2 linked regions of the Diceros bicornis minor genome follow. The protein of the gene in region 1 interacts with the protein of each later gene in a pairwise test. Links are inferred from orthologs where the notes say so. Each region holds a gene or a part of one and is shown in the gene's direction. Other genes may lie near its edges.

Region 1 (7,725 bases):
ACAAAAGCAAAAATAAACAAGTGGGACTACACCAAACTAAAAAGTTTCTGCACAGCAAAGGAAACCATCAACAAAATGAAAAGGTAACTGATAGAATGGGAGAAAACATTTGCAAATCATATATCTGATAAGGGGTTAATATCCAAAATATATAAAGAACTCATGCAACTCAATAGCAAAAAAAACCCCAAACAATCCAATTAAAAAGTGGGCAGAGGAACTGAACAGACATTTTTCCAAAGAAGACATACGAATGGCCAACAGGTACGTGAAATGGTGCTCAACATCACTAATCATCAGGGAAATGCAAATCAAAACCACAATGAGATATCACCTCCACCTGTTAGAATGGTTGTTATTGAAAAGACAAGTGATAACAAGTGTTGGTGAGGATGTGGAGAAAAGGGAACACTTGTGCACTGTTGGTGGGAATGTAAATTGGTGCAGCCAGTATGGAAAACAGTATGAAGGTTCCTCAAAAAATCAAAAATAGAAATACCATATGATCCAGCAATTCCACATCTGGGAATATATCTGAAGGAAACCAAATATCTATCTCAAAGAGATATCTGCACCCCCATGTTCACTGCAGCACTATTTACAATAGCCAAGACATGGAAACTAAGCGTCCATCAACAGACGAATAATAAAGAAAATGTGGTATATGTAAAACGGAATATTATTCAGCCATAAAAAGAAAGAAATCCTGCCATTTGCCGTAACATAGATAGACCTTGAGGGCATTATACTAAGTGAAATAAATCAAACAGAGAAAGACAAATACGCTTTGATATCACTTATATGTGGAATCTGAAAAAACTGAACTCACAGAAAGAGAAAACAGATTGATGGTTGCCAGAGGTGGGGGGTGGGGGGTGAGGGAAATGAGTGAAGGCAGTCAAAAGGTACAAACTTCCAATTACATATAAACTTATATATATAAACTTTCAATTATAAATAAGTTCTGGGGATGTAATGTACAACATGGTGACTATAAAAAAAGAAAAGAAAAAAAGATAAATTATATATGAAAACCATGAAAATTTACTTAAATTATAGAATATATATGTAAATATTAAGAAAGTTTACATCGTTTGAAAACTTACCCTGATCTTGTACAAACCGAAATATTGTGCTGGCATTATTTTTACATGGCAAATTAAAATTTAAAGACACTGGATCATGCTAAAAGCTCTTCTTTTATCTTGGAACTAAGGTCTTTTCTTACCCTGTAGCTATAATAACAAAGCCTGTTACATAAATATACTTTTCAGTGCCCATAAAGGAAACATATACAGTTTAACAATTCTTTTAGACAGTTTGACAGTTTAACTGGACTAGTTATTCCTAGAGTGCACACATACCACGGAGTAATAATTATTATTTTTTTGCTGAGGAAGATTAGCCCTGAGCTAACATCTGTTGCCAATCCTCCTCCTCCTTTTTTTTTTTCTTGAAGAAGATTAGCTCTCAGTTAGCATGTATACCAATCTTCCTCTACTTTATATGTGGGTCGCTGCCACAGCATGGCTGACAAGTGGTGTAGGTCTGTGCCTGCGATCCGAACCCATGAACCCAGGCCACTGAAGTGGAGCACGCCGAACTTAACCACTATGCCATGGGGCTGGCCCCTAGAATAATTTTTTGATTAGTTAATCTTAAAGTTTTCCAAGAGAGGGAATGGATAGCAAAAAAATTGAGAGGAAGCTACTTCAGACAAATATAAAATTATCACTCTCCAAAGCTAATCAATGTTCCCTCTGCAAGGACAGGGAAGACAGTTTAAACACAGTAAAACAGATTTTGACATATACATACAGACACAAAAAGAGTGACATTCCAGCTCATTTAAATAATAACTCAGGCACTTGACAGTTTAATAGAGCTGTACAATTAAAAAGTCAGCATTTAATAACCTACAAAGTACAGAAATGAAATATTGCCTGTGTTAAACAAAATAATCTCTCTTTCTGACACACAAGACAATCTCCTCATGAGGGTTTCTTCCTCTTTCGTTCTGAAGTACCTTTAAATAAACAATTTTGTTCTTGTCAGAAGTTCCCCAAAATGGCCACTGCAATTTCAAATTTGTCCCTAGTGAAATTGTGTCAGTTAGCGATATAAGGGTACAAGTTAGTCTAGTCATGAGAAAACATGAAAGCAGCAGCTACTTGGCCCAGTTTTAGTTAAGATGAGCCACCATAAGGATGGTGCTGTGCAACCTTGTACCTCCAGAACTTGGCCAAAGGCCAGTCGTCATTGATCAGGGGCCAGAGAAAATGTCCTGATCTGGGCAGAAGAAATGAAACAAAACAATTCTCAGAGACACAGACAAAACTCGGGAAGAAGTCCTTATAAAGGTTGGAAATGATGATCCGAGCCAAAGTTTATCCAAAGGACACTGGTCTGAGGATACCTTCTGAATTTCACAGCCTCTGGGGCCGGGTGGCGGTTGGACAGACTTATTGGCTCTTGGTTGATGGAGCAATTTGTCTGGTTAATTCTGATAACAAATGAGACTCCAGCATGCTAACTAGTTACATGACCCCCCAAGTGGTTGGCATCCCCAACTTCTTAGAGGGACAAGTGGTATTCAGCCACAAGAAACTGAGCAATAACAGGTCTGTGATGGCCTTACACATCTAGGGCTGCAAACCTGTCCTTTCCCTATAGACTTTTCCTCTTATAGACAAACAAAATTCAAAACACTAGACAAGAGGACAGACCATAGAAGCCGGTATAGAAGGCCAGAAAACAATTTCACCAAGGAAAAATAAAAATCTGATTGGATAACCAAAAAATCCAGGGGGACCATATTCCAAGGAAGACAAACAATCCCAATACTAAAGGGTCTCAATGAAACATCAGAGCTCAAGTCAGCGAGAACTTACGTCCCAGCCATGGGCAGGATGGACCTCAAACAGAGACACAAGGGGTCTCAGATGTGCACATTATTACTAGTGTCAAGGGTCCCAGTCCAAGGCAGTGAGGGTTTAAATGAATCTCTTTGGCTGGTCCATTTCTGACAATGTTCTCCAGCCAAACACCACCAGGAACACACCTCTGGTTGAACAAGGGAGACCGCACATCATGGGGAACCCATCTTGGGCATCTCAGGAAGCACATGTTAGAAAGCTTATGTTATTACAGGATTTGGGCTTGTTAGGTGATTTTCTAGGAGGATTCAGGAAAGCGGAGATTTGCTCTAGGTTGGATGCTGTCAGGAAGTGGGGTTAATTCTTTTTGGTTATCTTAATTCTTATCTAGAAATTAGGAGGAATGGATGGGGCTAAAGCTGTACTTGGTAAAGAAGCAGCAGTCACTCAAAATGTCGGGGAGGAGGTTGTGTTTGGTCATTTCTGTGGTTTGGACAATGTGTTCAGATATGCTTATGGACATGATTATTTCTCTCAATCCACCAGAGAGTGACTTTGATGTTGGTGTTCTCTGAAATTGTTTATGCTCAACAGGACAACACTGCAGCCTAGCTGATAGTGCCAGGTGGGCTTCCAGCAGCACCAAGGCTTCTGGAGGGAGAGTGCAAATTAGCCTCCAGCTGTCACAAGCTGCTTTTCTCTTTTTCACCAGCTACACTTGAAAAATAAGAATTGGCCACTCCTTTGGTAGAACATGAGCTCTCCACCAGACACCACAGGCTCCATTACCCCCCAATACCTAATAACTGGCCCACCCCACTCATTTACACTCCTACATGTCCCCTGCAGGCATTTAAATTCACACCCCTCACTAAGCACAAAACGAAGCAAGCAAACCCAGAGGGAAGTAGCTTGCCCAGGATCACCCAGTGAACTGGTGGCAGGATGGAAACTACAACTCTGACTCTGTGTTTCCTCTTCCCTCCAGCAAATCTCCCTGGTAGGCATTAAAGTCGATTGTTCAATCTCTGATGTATCAGCTTCTAAACTGGATGTAGATCGGGTCAGATAAACGCACTTCTCACCACACTTTGTCAACAACGTGTACCTATCTTTTTTTTTTTTTTCAGGGTTGGGTATCTCACGGCAGTAGCTGGGATTCTAAGACCTTTGCTCAGCCACTCCAGCCACCCTTGACATTCTTTCTGCTCCTCAAATACACCGAGCGTGTTCCTGCCTCAGAGTCTGTGTATTTGTCTTTCCCTCTGCCTGGAACTGTCTTCCTCACACCTCCACGTGGCTGCTTCTTCTCTGCTTCAGCCCAGAATCACCTCCTCAGAGAGGCCCTCCATGACAACCTTACCTACTCCCACCCTGCATGCCCTAGCAGTACTGCCACCTCCCCTGGGAGGGCCCCCCCCCACCCGCTTTGGCCTCCTTTGCGAGCTTCCCCTGGTGCTTTGTTCGAAGCTCTCCTCAGTCTGTCGAGTGCGTGGCGCTGGGAGGCGGGAAACCTTGCCCAATCCCCTGCCTCTCTGGGCCTCAGTTTTCCCTTCACGCCCGCGAAGCGCCCCGAGAGCGGAAAGCCAACCACGGGGCGGGGACGTCGCTTTCCACAGCAGGCAGATGGCGAGGCGTCTCCTGGAGCTGGTCTCCGGTACTCTCCAGGCCAGTGCACCGCACAGAGCCCGCAGCAAGTCTCCGCCGCAGTCTGCGAGCGACCCCTCAACGGGCCCAAGGCCACTACGCATGCTCCGCACTCCCCCCCCCCCCCCCGCCCCGCGAGGCCCGGGCGGGACCTTGATGCGCCTGCGCAGCTGCTCGGCCCCGCTTCCGGGCGTGCGGGCGCGATGGGGCTGAGGGCGGGTGTAGATGAGTAGCGGCGGCGTGTGGGCGTGCGAGCCCAGCGGTTTGGCCCTAGAGCTCGGGTCCCGGGGTCTTCGGGAGGGCCAGGGGGCGCGGAGTGCTTAGAATCGCTGCCTGCTGCCACCACCTGGCATGTCGGCCGAAGCCTCGGGCCCGGCGGCGGCCGAGGCCCCGTCCCTGGAAGTTCCTAAACCCTCGGGTCTCGAGCCTGGCGTCGCCGCCTACGGTCTCAAGCCGCTGACGCCGAACAGCAAGTACGTGAAGCTGAACGTGGGCGGCTCGCTGCACTACACCACGCTGCGCACCCTCACGGGGCAGGACACCTTGCTCAAGGCCATGTTCAGCGGCCGCGCGGAGGTGCTCACGGACGCCGGAGGTACGCGCGCCGCCCTCGCTTGAGCTTCCTCCAGCCTCCAGATCCCCTTCCTCTAGTCTGTCGTCGCCCCGTCTCCTCATGACCCTTCTCTCGTCTCACTGCGGTCCAGTGAACTCATTCTCGCCTCCTCCGGCCCCCACATCCCATCTCATCGTCTCATTCGTAATCTCCCTCCTCCCCCAGTCTTGACCCCCAGCAATAACCAGCATTTACGGAACCTCCCCTAACTCGGCCAGGCGCTGCGGTAAGGGATTCAACAGATCACCTCGGAATTTTCATTACCGCTCTCCCCTAGTTCTCCCAGTCTTCACCACTGAGCTCAAAAGACTTGGAAACCAGCCCTGCTGCCAGCAGCATCCTTCCAGGCAACCTTCATCCGTTTTTTCCAGCTGCCCAGCCTTTTGTTCCGCTAACTCAACACCGCTAACAACCAGCCTGGAGAGTTGGCGGATCTTGTCTGTCTCTGTGTTCCCCTAACCCAGGTTCCTGTACCCTCTAGGAATCCTTCTGTAAATGCCGATTGTAGCAGGAGAAGGCTGCTTTGGGTTTGCCAGGGACACCAGACTGGAGGGTGGACAGTTCTCCCTGGCAGGCGAACCTTACCTTCTTGGAGTGCTACATTCAGGTTTGGGCCGCGCATGCCCAAGTGGAAACTTAAAGGGTTTTTTTTGAGGCGGGGTGGGGGGGGGGATTCAGAAGGTGTAAACAAGGATTGTAAGAGCAGGAGAATAAACATTTGGGAGGTGGAGCTCAGTCTTCAAATATCTGAAGGTGAAGAATTTATTTGTTCAGTAAGTATTTGTAAGCCAGTTAGTGCTGGAGATACTTTAGTGAACGAATCTGATAAGATTAGCCTTATGGAGTTTGCTTTTTCGTGAGGGCAGGGTGAGAACAGTAAGCAAGTAAACATACAAAAAAAAATACGTGTAATTCCAGATATAGTAATAAGTTCTATGAAGAATATAAAGGGTAAAATGGTAGACAACTGGAGGGTGGGGTAGACATTTTAATTAAATAGATGGTCAGAATTAACACAAGAAGTTAGAGGTTTATTGATAAGGTAATCTGTAAGAACTTTCTCATGATGAGAACCTTCTCAGTGTAGAATAGACTTGGAAGAGAATTAATTCTCTGTGGCTGGATATGTTGAAAAGGGGCCTTGGGAGAACTCACTGGAGATGTTTTAAAGGGATTTTCTTGGATATGGGGGAGGTTTGAGATAGATCAATATTCAGACGTGTAGCTTTGAAATCCTTTTTTCATAAAACTGTAGTAGCTCCATGGTCCCCCAGCAAAGCCATCCTTCTTCCTGCCTCTCCCCACCCTACCAGGTTGGGTGCTGATTGACCGGAGCGGCCGCCACTTTGGTACAATCCTCAACTACCTGCGGGACGGGTCCGTGCCACTGCCTGAGAGTACCAGAGAACTGGGGGAGCTACTAGGCGAAGCACGCTACTACCTGGTACAGGGCCTGATTGAGGACTGCCAGCTGGCACTGCAGGTGAGGGTCCCTCCCTCGACTCCTGAGTCCGACCCCTATGACTGGAGAGCTGCCCAAGCAGTTAGATATTAGGACATTAAAAAAAAAAGGGAATATGGGGTACTATTTGGAGAGGCTGCCTTTGGTCTGGCCCTGACTAGCCATGACCCAGAGAATTTAGGGGTACTGTCCTCTGTGTCCCTGCTGCCTCAGGCAGGGCCCCCCTCACCACCACGTGCCAAGACTACTGCAATAGTTAAATGACTGCTCTCTCTGCTTCTTGCTGTTCCTACCCAGCCAGTCTAGCTGTTACACCACCACCTGAGTAATGATCCTTGAAAACAATCCCAGTTTACTCTTTCCCTTGTTCAGAAATCCTAAATAACTCCTTTGTGCTGCTAGGGAAAAAAATCTAAATTTAAATTGGAATATAATGATCTCCATGATCTGGTCCTATCCTGGGAGGCAGCATTCCACGCCCTGCCTCCCAGGGGGTTTGAAAATTTTTTTTTTTAGCAATGAAATCTCATATAAGCAGAGCTGCTCCCAATAAAACAGGGTTGGGGGTTCCAGAGCCCCACCTGCTGGGCTTCTCTTCTGTGGATCTCTTAGGGTTCTGAGGAGAAGAGCTTGGAAAGCCTAGCCAGGATATATGGGTTAAGTGTCACCTCTGCCACAGCTGACTGAGTGACCTTGAGTGAGTCAGTTCCTACCTCTGGCGTTCTGTCCTCGTGTTCCAAAAGATAGGGAAATGAGAAAAATATGTACAGTGTAGTGAGTTTTACATAAAGCCTTTTATTCTGTTCAGTTTTTACAATGTTAAAAATGTTCTTTCATGATACGATATTAATAGGAGATTATAAGTTTCTTTTTTGATGCCCTTTATATATTAAAAAGTGGCTACTATGAACAACTTTCTGTTATCTTGGAGAGTACTTATTGGTTCTTGAAATCCAAAAATATAGAATTCCTTTAGGAAATATCCATGTTTTTCAAACTTTTCGACTTCATACCATAGAAAACAATGCATTTTATACTCACATACATATAACTGAAATAAGAGTTTCATAAAATGATACTTTTAGTGAAATACACTCGATATATTGTTTTCTTTCTTTTTTTAATGC
Region 2 (7,746 bases), on another chromosome or scaffold:
TCTCCAGAGAGTGACACTGATTGCCTGGCGGTAGGCCCCCAAGAAGGAGGAAGGTGAGGCAGCCAGTCCTCAGGCCTGGGCTTAGAAGTCCCAGAACTTTCTACCCATTAAATGCATCAAAACAGTCACAGGACCAATGTGGTGGAACATCACACACTTGTAGGGAGGGAAGGGATTGATGGTGATAATTTGAGAAGCCTACCACACCAGCTAACAATAGCAGAACCAGCCATCTGAGCCCAATCTAGATTACAGAATCATGAGAAAATAAATAGTTGTTGTTTTAAGCCACTAAGTTTTGGGGTGGTTTAATATGCAACAATAGATAACTGGAACAGACATTGGTACTTAGAAGTGAGATACTGCCATACCAAAATTCTAAAATACGGCACTGACTTTGGAACCAGGCAGCAGGAGGACACTAGAAAGGCAGTGAGAATATTGCCGTTGGAGGCTAGAGAAAGTTATAAGCCATGTTGGGTATTAGCAGAAAAATGGCAAAGCCATTGCCTATGGTAATGTGGAAGACAGAAAATGTATCTATGGGGCCAGTCCGGTGACGCAGTGGTTAAGTACGTACACTCCGCTTTGGCAGCCTGGGGTCCACAGGTTTCGATGCCGGGCTCGCACCAGCACACTGCTTTTCAAGCCATGCTGTGGTGGTGTCCCATGTAAAGTAGAAGAAGATGGGCATGGATGTTAGCCCAGGGCCAATCTTCCTCAGCAAAAAGAAAAAAGAGGAGGATTGGCATCAGATGTTAGCTCAGGGCTGGTCTTCCTCACACACACACAAAAGAAAATGTCTGTAATGATCTGATTTTCTTAGCAGAAAGCTTAGAGGGCCAGTTGGCTTCTTTCATTTGTTTACTGAAAGTGAAGGAAGAGAGAAAGGAACTAAAGAAGCGACTGTTGCATCTTCCAGCAGAAGTTAGAGGACATGTTTCTAAGCCAGGTCTTGCTAAGTTGGCAAATAAAAACTATTTCTCATTCCCAGCCTTTCCAGGCAGCAAGAGGTTCTCAAGGTGAGCGACGGTGTCGTGGTGAAGATCAATTCCGGGGTCCTGCCAACAAAACATGGCCTCGGGGTCAAAATAAATTCAAGGGTGTGGTTGTATGATCCCTTGTTAAGACCTCTGAAAGATTTCTGGGTGGGTGGGTCCTCATAGACCCTGTCAGCCATACAAAAGGGCTTCTAAGAATTTTGAGGTCATTGTCCCACAGTGCCTGACTTGTAGCCCACAGTAGAAAGGAGCCTTCTCAAAGACATTTGTGCTGTAGCTTTTGTCTAATGAAGTGAGTTTTAATTTGATACATAGAAAATCCACAAATTTTTTTAAGGGTTGTATATGCTTGAACTAAAATGGACAGAGTTTGAAATAAAAGAGGCCTCTGGGCCCCCAACTTTCTACAGGCAAGAAGCTGAGGAAGCTACTCAGCTGCAAACCTGGGCCATTTCCTATGGAAAGGGAGGATGACCGAGAGTGCAAGGCCAAGAGTCCAGAGGGAGAAGCCAAGCACTGCCCAGACAGGAGGTCAGGGAACCACACCACACGGGGAACAGACAGGCCCTGATCAAAGAACGCTGCGATGGACGTCTGGCTGAATTTCCAAATTGTTATGGACCAGTGACTGTGGGGTACACTCCTCCTTTTTGAATGCGGTGTCTATTCAGTTATCTTGTGCTCCACCGTAGAATGTTGGGTATGGGAGGGGTAATAACATGCCTCTGGAGCAAAAGGGGTCACACCTGAGGTGTTCTCATCCACATCTGGCCCTGTTGCATATCACAAGATACTGGACTCTAAGCCTAACACCTTGATGAGATGGTGATACTGAGGGTCTTAGGAGGTGCTGAGTGCAATCTTCATGTGGGAGGAGCATGGATCATTAGAGGCCAGAGGGCGGACTGGGGCAGGCTGTTCCACTGGTAGCCCTCCACTGAACCACACTTCCTAAGCCCCCCAGTGAACCCATGCTTTTGTGCACAGCCCTCCTACGCTGATTTTGGGCTTGCTCACATAACTTGCTTTGGCCAGTGAGATACTAGCAAGCATGATTCAAGCAGAAACCCAATAAATGTTTGCCCAGTGGCACTTGTCACACACAGCACAGCCTCCACACTGTAAGGAAGTCTAGCTATCCTGCCTGGCCATGTGGGGAAACCCTGGATAATGAGACATCACACAGAGAGAGGTTACACGGAGGAGAAATGAGGTGTCCCACTCAAATTCCCAGCTGACACCATGTGCAACCGAAGATCCCCAGTCAATTAGAATTGCGAGAAATTATAAATCAATGTTATTTCAAGCCGTTAAGTTTGCGGTGGTTTGTTACACATTGGTAGGTAACTGAAACCTATGGTAGTCACCAACAACTGCAGCCCTCTCACAATCTCAAATCCACACATCTCTGGCCACTACCTCCCTCACTCCCTCTAGCACCCTGACTCCTGTTTTTAGCAAAAAACGCCTCAGGGGAGTTGTCTGTCTCATGGTCTCCAGTTGTCTCCTTCCACTCCCTCTTAACCATTTATGGACTCATTCCCCCACCACACCACCAAATCTGTGCTTGTCAAGGTAACCAGTGCCCTCATGCTGTGTTGCTCAATCTATTGAATAACTCCCAATCCTCATCTTACAGGACCTGTCAGCAGCGTTTGACATCGCTGATCCCTCCCTGTACCACAGGCGCTGTCTCCACTGGGCTTCCAGGCCACTGCCGTCTCCTGGTTTTCCTCCTACTTAACATCTTCTTTCTCTTTACTGACTCCTCCTCTTTCTAGCCTCTCTTCCCCCTTAACATGGGAGTGTCAGGGTTCAGTCTTTGACCTCTCTTTTTCTCTATCTGCATTTTCTCCCACGGTGATCTCATCCAGTTGTATGGCTTTAAATATAACAAATATGCTAATGAATGCCAAATTTATACCCCCAGGCTGGACATCTCCCCTCAACTGTATATTCATATATTGAACTGCCTTGTAACCTTAACATGTAGCATGAGTAAGAAATACACCTTTAGGGGCCGGACCCATGGTGTAGCGGTTAAGTGCGCACGCTCCACTGCTGGTGGCCCGGGTTCAGATCCCCAGTGCGCACTGAGGCTCCGCTTGTCAGGCCACGCTGTGGCAGCCTCCCACATAAAGAGGAGGAAGATGGGCACGGATGTTTAGCCCAGGACCAATCTTCCTCAGCATAAAGAGGAGGATTGGCATGGATGTTAGCCCAGGGTCAATCTTCCTCAGCAAAAAGAGGAGGATTAGCATGGATGTTAGCTCAGGGCTGATCTTCCTCACAAAAAAAACAAAGAAATACATTTTTATTTTGCTAAGCTACTGAGAATTTGGGGTTGTTTGTTACTGTAGCATAACCAGGGCTACCCTGACTGCTACAGAACACCGCCAGCATATGTGCCCAAACACTATCGTTTCTTGGTTGAGCCCTTGCATTCATTTCCCTAACAGCATTCCTGCTTCCACTTTTTCCCGGTGTAAACAGTTGTCCCCATCAGCCAGCGTGAGTCATTGAGAGGCTGCTTCCCTGTTCAGCTCCTCCAACAGCCTCCCTTCTTTCTAAGCATAAAGTCAACGTCCTCACAGAGCCTATGTGACCCCCCCTTACCACCTTTCTGACCTTGTCCCCTCTTGCTCTCCTTCACTTAGGTCTGGTCACAATGGCCACCTTTGTCCATGAGGCCTACTTTGCCCACCACCTTCACCAGGACTCCAACCCCCTAATGCCAATCTACTTGTTTCTGCCATAGCCTTTATCGGTTTCTAGTATGGCATATAACTCCCTCACTGTGGGCCTCTTCTGCCTCACTCGCTGGAATACAAGCAGGAGTTTTTAATTTGCCTTGTGCACTGCTGTCGAGTAGTCTCAGTAGGTTCTGCGGGTGGAAGCCCAGCTGGAGTGGTAGCCAGGAGACACGGGTGGTGGGCAGAAGGCCCCCCATGGCCGTCAGGCCCTGGAGGTCCTGTTCAGGAAGGACCTGGAGCATTCAGAACCCTGGCGCATCGCCCCAGCTCAGTTACGGAGCTTGAGGCCCCGGGAAGGTGAGTGCAGCCCGAGGATGGGCTGGGTGGAGGAGCCCCGGCCCCCGTGGTGAGGACGCGGCCGGCGGCCGGGGAGGAAGGAGGGCGCTCCTGGCGGGGCTCGGGCCGTCTTCTGCGTCCCGCAGGCCCTGCCCCGGCCCCTGCTCCGCAGCGGCCCGTGGCTCTGGGTCCGTCCCCGCCCCGCGCCTCCTGCCCGCGGCCCTGAGCACAGGGACCGGAGGCGGGGAGCCGCAGCGGATCCCGCACAGACGCCACGTGCAGGGCCCCTGCGGAGTGCGCCGGGGCGCGAGCCGGGCCGCCCTCCAAGCAGGGCGGGGGTCGCGGGGTGTGAGGCCGGGGGCGGGGACCCCGAGGCCGGAGCGCCGCCGCACAAAGCTTCCCGCGAACCTGACGTCGCGCGGGACGGCCGCGCAGGCGCCGCCCCCGGCCGCGCCCCTCCCCCGCGCTCGCCCTGCTCCTCAGCGCGCAGGCGCACTCGCCCTCCGCCCATTGGCCGCGGTGCGGCGGCGCGCGGCGGCCGGAGCAGTGCGCGCCCCGCGATTGGCCAGGAGGCGGCGGGCGGGGGTGTGTCCGCGCCCCGCCCCGCCTTCAGCCCCGCTCGCGGTGGTGCGCGCGGTGGCGGCGGCGGCGCGTGGCAGGTCCGGCGGGCGCGAGGCGGTGGCGGCCCGAGTCCGGCCCAGCCTCGTCCCGCCCGCCCGCCCGCCCGGCCCCGACCGCGGCCCCGGCCCGCCCGCCTGGCGCGCCGCGGCCCCGCCCCGGCCCGACCCGGCGCCTCCCGAGGGAGCGGCGCCGCCGGCCGAGCGCAGGCCCGGCCATGACCGACTTCAAATTGGGCATCGTGCGGCTCGGCCGGGTGGCCGGGAAGGTGAGCGGCGCGGGGCCGGGGGCTGAGGCGCGGGGCTCTGGCCGGGGGCCTGGGGCGCGTGGCTCTGGCCGGGAGCCGGGAGCGTGGGGCCGGGGGCCGGGGGCGCGGGGCTCTGGCCGGGAGCCGGGAGCGTGGGGCCGGGCGGTTGTACGGACGGCGGGCCGGCGGCGTGTCCCTGCGGGGCAGCTCTCCTCGGGCCGCGGGCTGGGGCTCAGACCGTGCACTGTGGCCGGGGGAGGAGAGAGCTGTCGGGCTGCACCTGCGGCCGCGGGCAGCGCTGCGCCCTTCCGAAGCGGCGCGCTCGCTGCTTGCCAAGACGGGTGTGTGCGCGCCGCTCCGTGCCTGTCGGTCAGTAGTGGAGCTTCGCGCAGGTCTCACGCTGCCAGCGGTGGCCGCGTCTGGCTGAGCCTCAGTGGGCCTTGCCAGAGCAGGGTCTCCCTCTGCTTCTCTCCCTTACCTGGCCCCGCCCTCCGTGTGTTCGAGGCTGGGGCTTCCTGGCACCTGTGGGCATCCAGGCTTGGCTGTTTCCAGGAGCCGGCCGGTCGTGCAGCTGCACCAGCCACAGACTTCACCCTGGATGGGAACCCTGTTCCCATCACCAGCGGCGGAAGCTTCTGGTGGGAGAGAGGAGCAGAGGCAGTCAGATGAAGGTAAAACCGATTCAGATCCTAGAAAAAAGCTTTCCCAGCAAGAGTGAGACTGGTCGGTTTGGGGACGTTTCCTGCCCTTCCTGCAGAGGGATGTTGCTTTCTTTTTTTTGTGAGGAAGATCAGCCCTGAGCTAACATCCGTGCCAATGCTTTTTTTTTTTTTTTTTTTGCTGAGGAAGACTGGCTGTGAGCTAACATCCGTGCCCATCTTCCTCTACTTTATGTGGGACGCCTGCCACAGCATGGCCTGACAAGTGGTGCGTCTGTGTGCGCCCGGCATCCGAACCTGTGCACCCCAGGCCACGGAAGCGGAGTGCGCTCACTTAACTGCTGCACCACCAGGCTGGCCCGGGATGTTGCTTTCTAACTAGGCGGGGTGGGCTTCTCTCAGCCCTGAGACCCCTTTTAAGTCAGTGACTGGCTGCATTAATGTCATCCCTTAAAACTTTTGTTTGAAATGTTTCAGACAGACAAAAAGCAAAAAAGGACAATGTAGTGTGCACCTGCGTGCCAACCACCTAGGTTACTAAATAAACACTAATTGAAATCCTCTGGATGTCCTGCCTCTGTCCTGGCCCCTCCCTCTACAGCAGCGAAGCCCCGGTGGTGGACGGGGTTCATGGGCGCATTAACATGTACGGCTTAGAGGTTGCCCAGTTCAGGTCCATTTTTTGTGGTTAGTCTTGTGCAGATGGGAAGTGAAGCCTGGTACCGTCTCCTCTGGTATGCTCTTGAGTGGGGACTGACCAGCCTTTGGCACGCTGACCTGCTCTTTGGGGTAGACTGCCCCATGCCCCTTGCCTGCTGACCCCTCTCAGTCTGAAGGGGCTATTCCTGCCTGTTATTAGTACCTTACACTGACTCCAATCGTAACGTTTTGAAACGTTAATTTCCAGACCAAGTACACCCTGATTGATGAGCAAGACATCCCGCTGGTGGAGGGCTACTCCTTTGAGGTAAGGATGGCTGTCCCTTTGCTGGCCTGCTTCCAGCCCGTGTCTGGGGAGGGTAACAAGGGATGATGGGTTTTCTTCCCTGTAATGTGAGGGCAAGACTGTGCATGTGAGCTGGCCCGTGAAGCCTGTGCAACACTGGCCCTCCCCTACCTCCACCTAGGTGCTGGCTTCTCCTAGAAAACAGACCACATTGTGTCATGTTTGTGGCTGATTGTTCAGTAGGACAAGCCCAGTTCCCTGGAACCTGTCCAGTGCCACCCCACGTCTCCTCTGGCCTTGGCCTCACATGCTCGCCACCCTCTGTCTTCCTGAGCCTCCCTGCCTTCCACTCTTGTCTGCTGACGACCACCCGCTCCTCCCCTTCCAGCCTCCAGGAGTCTGGGGCCACCACTTTCTTACCTCAGCCCCCCTCATGGTAGTTATTTGCTCAGGGGTTTCTCTCTCAGTGGATTGTGGGCTTTTCTTCAGGGGACGAAAGTTTATTTCTCTGTCCACAGCAGTTTGCAGAGTGGTTCGTGCGCGTGTCTTACTTGAATGCAGGCGGGTGCTTGTTGGGATGCAGTGGCTTCTCAGTGCCATGTGTCTGTGGGAGCCTCCTCAGACCCCTAACTTCCCAGGAACCAGACTGGCATTTATTCTTCTGGCTTGTTTGTTTCACTTGATTTTTCTAAGACGAATTTGAAATGTTTCCGAGAATCAGAGATTCTTTAATAGAACTTTTCCTTGTTTCTTCTCAGGCCCGGATGGAAGTAGACGCAGATGGAAATGGTGCTAAGATATTTGCATATGCCTTTGACAAAAACCGAGGAAGAGGGTCTGGAAGGCTCCTTCATGAGCTGCTGTGGTGGGTATTTTCGAGCTGTTTGTTTCCCACCTCGGGTCCTGCGTAAGCCCTGGTGCCCCCAGGGTGTGTGGAGGCAGTGGAGCCACCTGCCCTGGACAGGTGGTGCCCTCCCCAAGACTCCCAGTTAGTTTTGCGTCGTTGCCACTAACGCAGAGGAATGACTGATTCATATATCATGGCACTAAGTCTTCAGACACCAGTGGGCTTTCTGCTCTGGTGCTCACTCTGGACACAGCCTCCTCCAGGGGAGAGCAGGGTCTGGTTCCTTCACCGGGCTTTTGCTGAGCCTGTCGGTAGGATGTGGGGAAGGGGCTGCTTGTCCTCAGGGTGCACAGTGGAGTTCAGAAATGCTTGGGGCCACTCACACGGATGATCTCCACG

Evidence for each region.
Region 2: the proteins of KCTD13 (region 1) and ZMYND19 interact in binary tests that used the Homo sapiens proteins (3 or more experiments, as listed by UniProt). The two-hybrid records come from large-scale screens. The link is inferred for Diceros bicornis minor from reciprocal best matches to the Homo sapiens genes KCTD13 and ZMYND19.

Annotation. Positions count from the first base shown.
Region 1 is NC_080765.1:21,747,976-21,755,700, reverse strand, and holds the start of KCTD13 (BTB/POZ domain-containing adapter for CUL3-mediated RhoA degradation protein 1), read left to right. Parts: upstream 1-4,715; 5' UTR 4,716-4,874; coding exon 4,875-5,118; intron 5,119-6,449; coding exon 6,450-6,619; intron 6,620-7,725. UniProt on the Homo sapiens protein: Substrate-specific adapter of a BCR (BTB-CUL3-RBX1) E3 ubiquitin-protein ligase complex required for synaptic transmission.
Region 2 is NC_080767.1:44,091,288-44,099,033, reverse strand, and holds the start of ZMYND19 (zinc finger MYND domain-containing protein 19), read left to right. Parts: upstream 1-4,741; 5' UTR 4,742-4,865; coding exon 4,866-4,916; intron 4,917-6,461; coding exon 6,462-6,521; intron 6,522-7,258; coding exon 7,259-7,365; intron 7,366-7,746. UniProt on the Homo sapiens protein: May be involved as a regulatory molecule in GPR24/MCH-R1 signaling.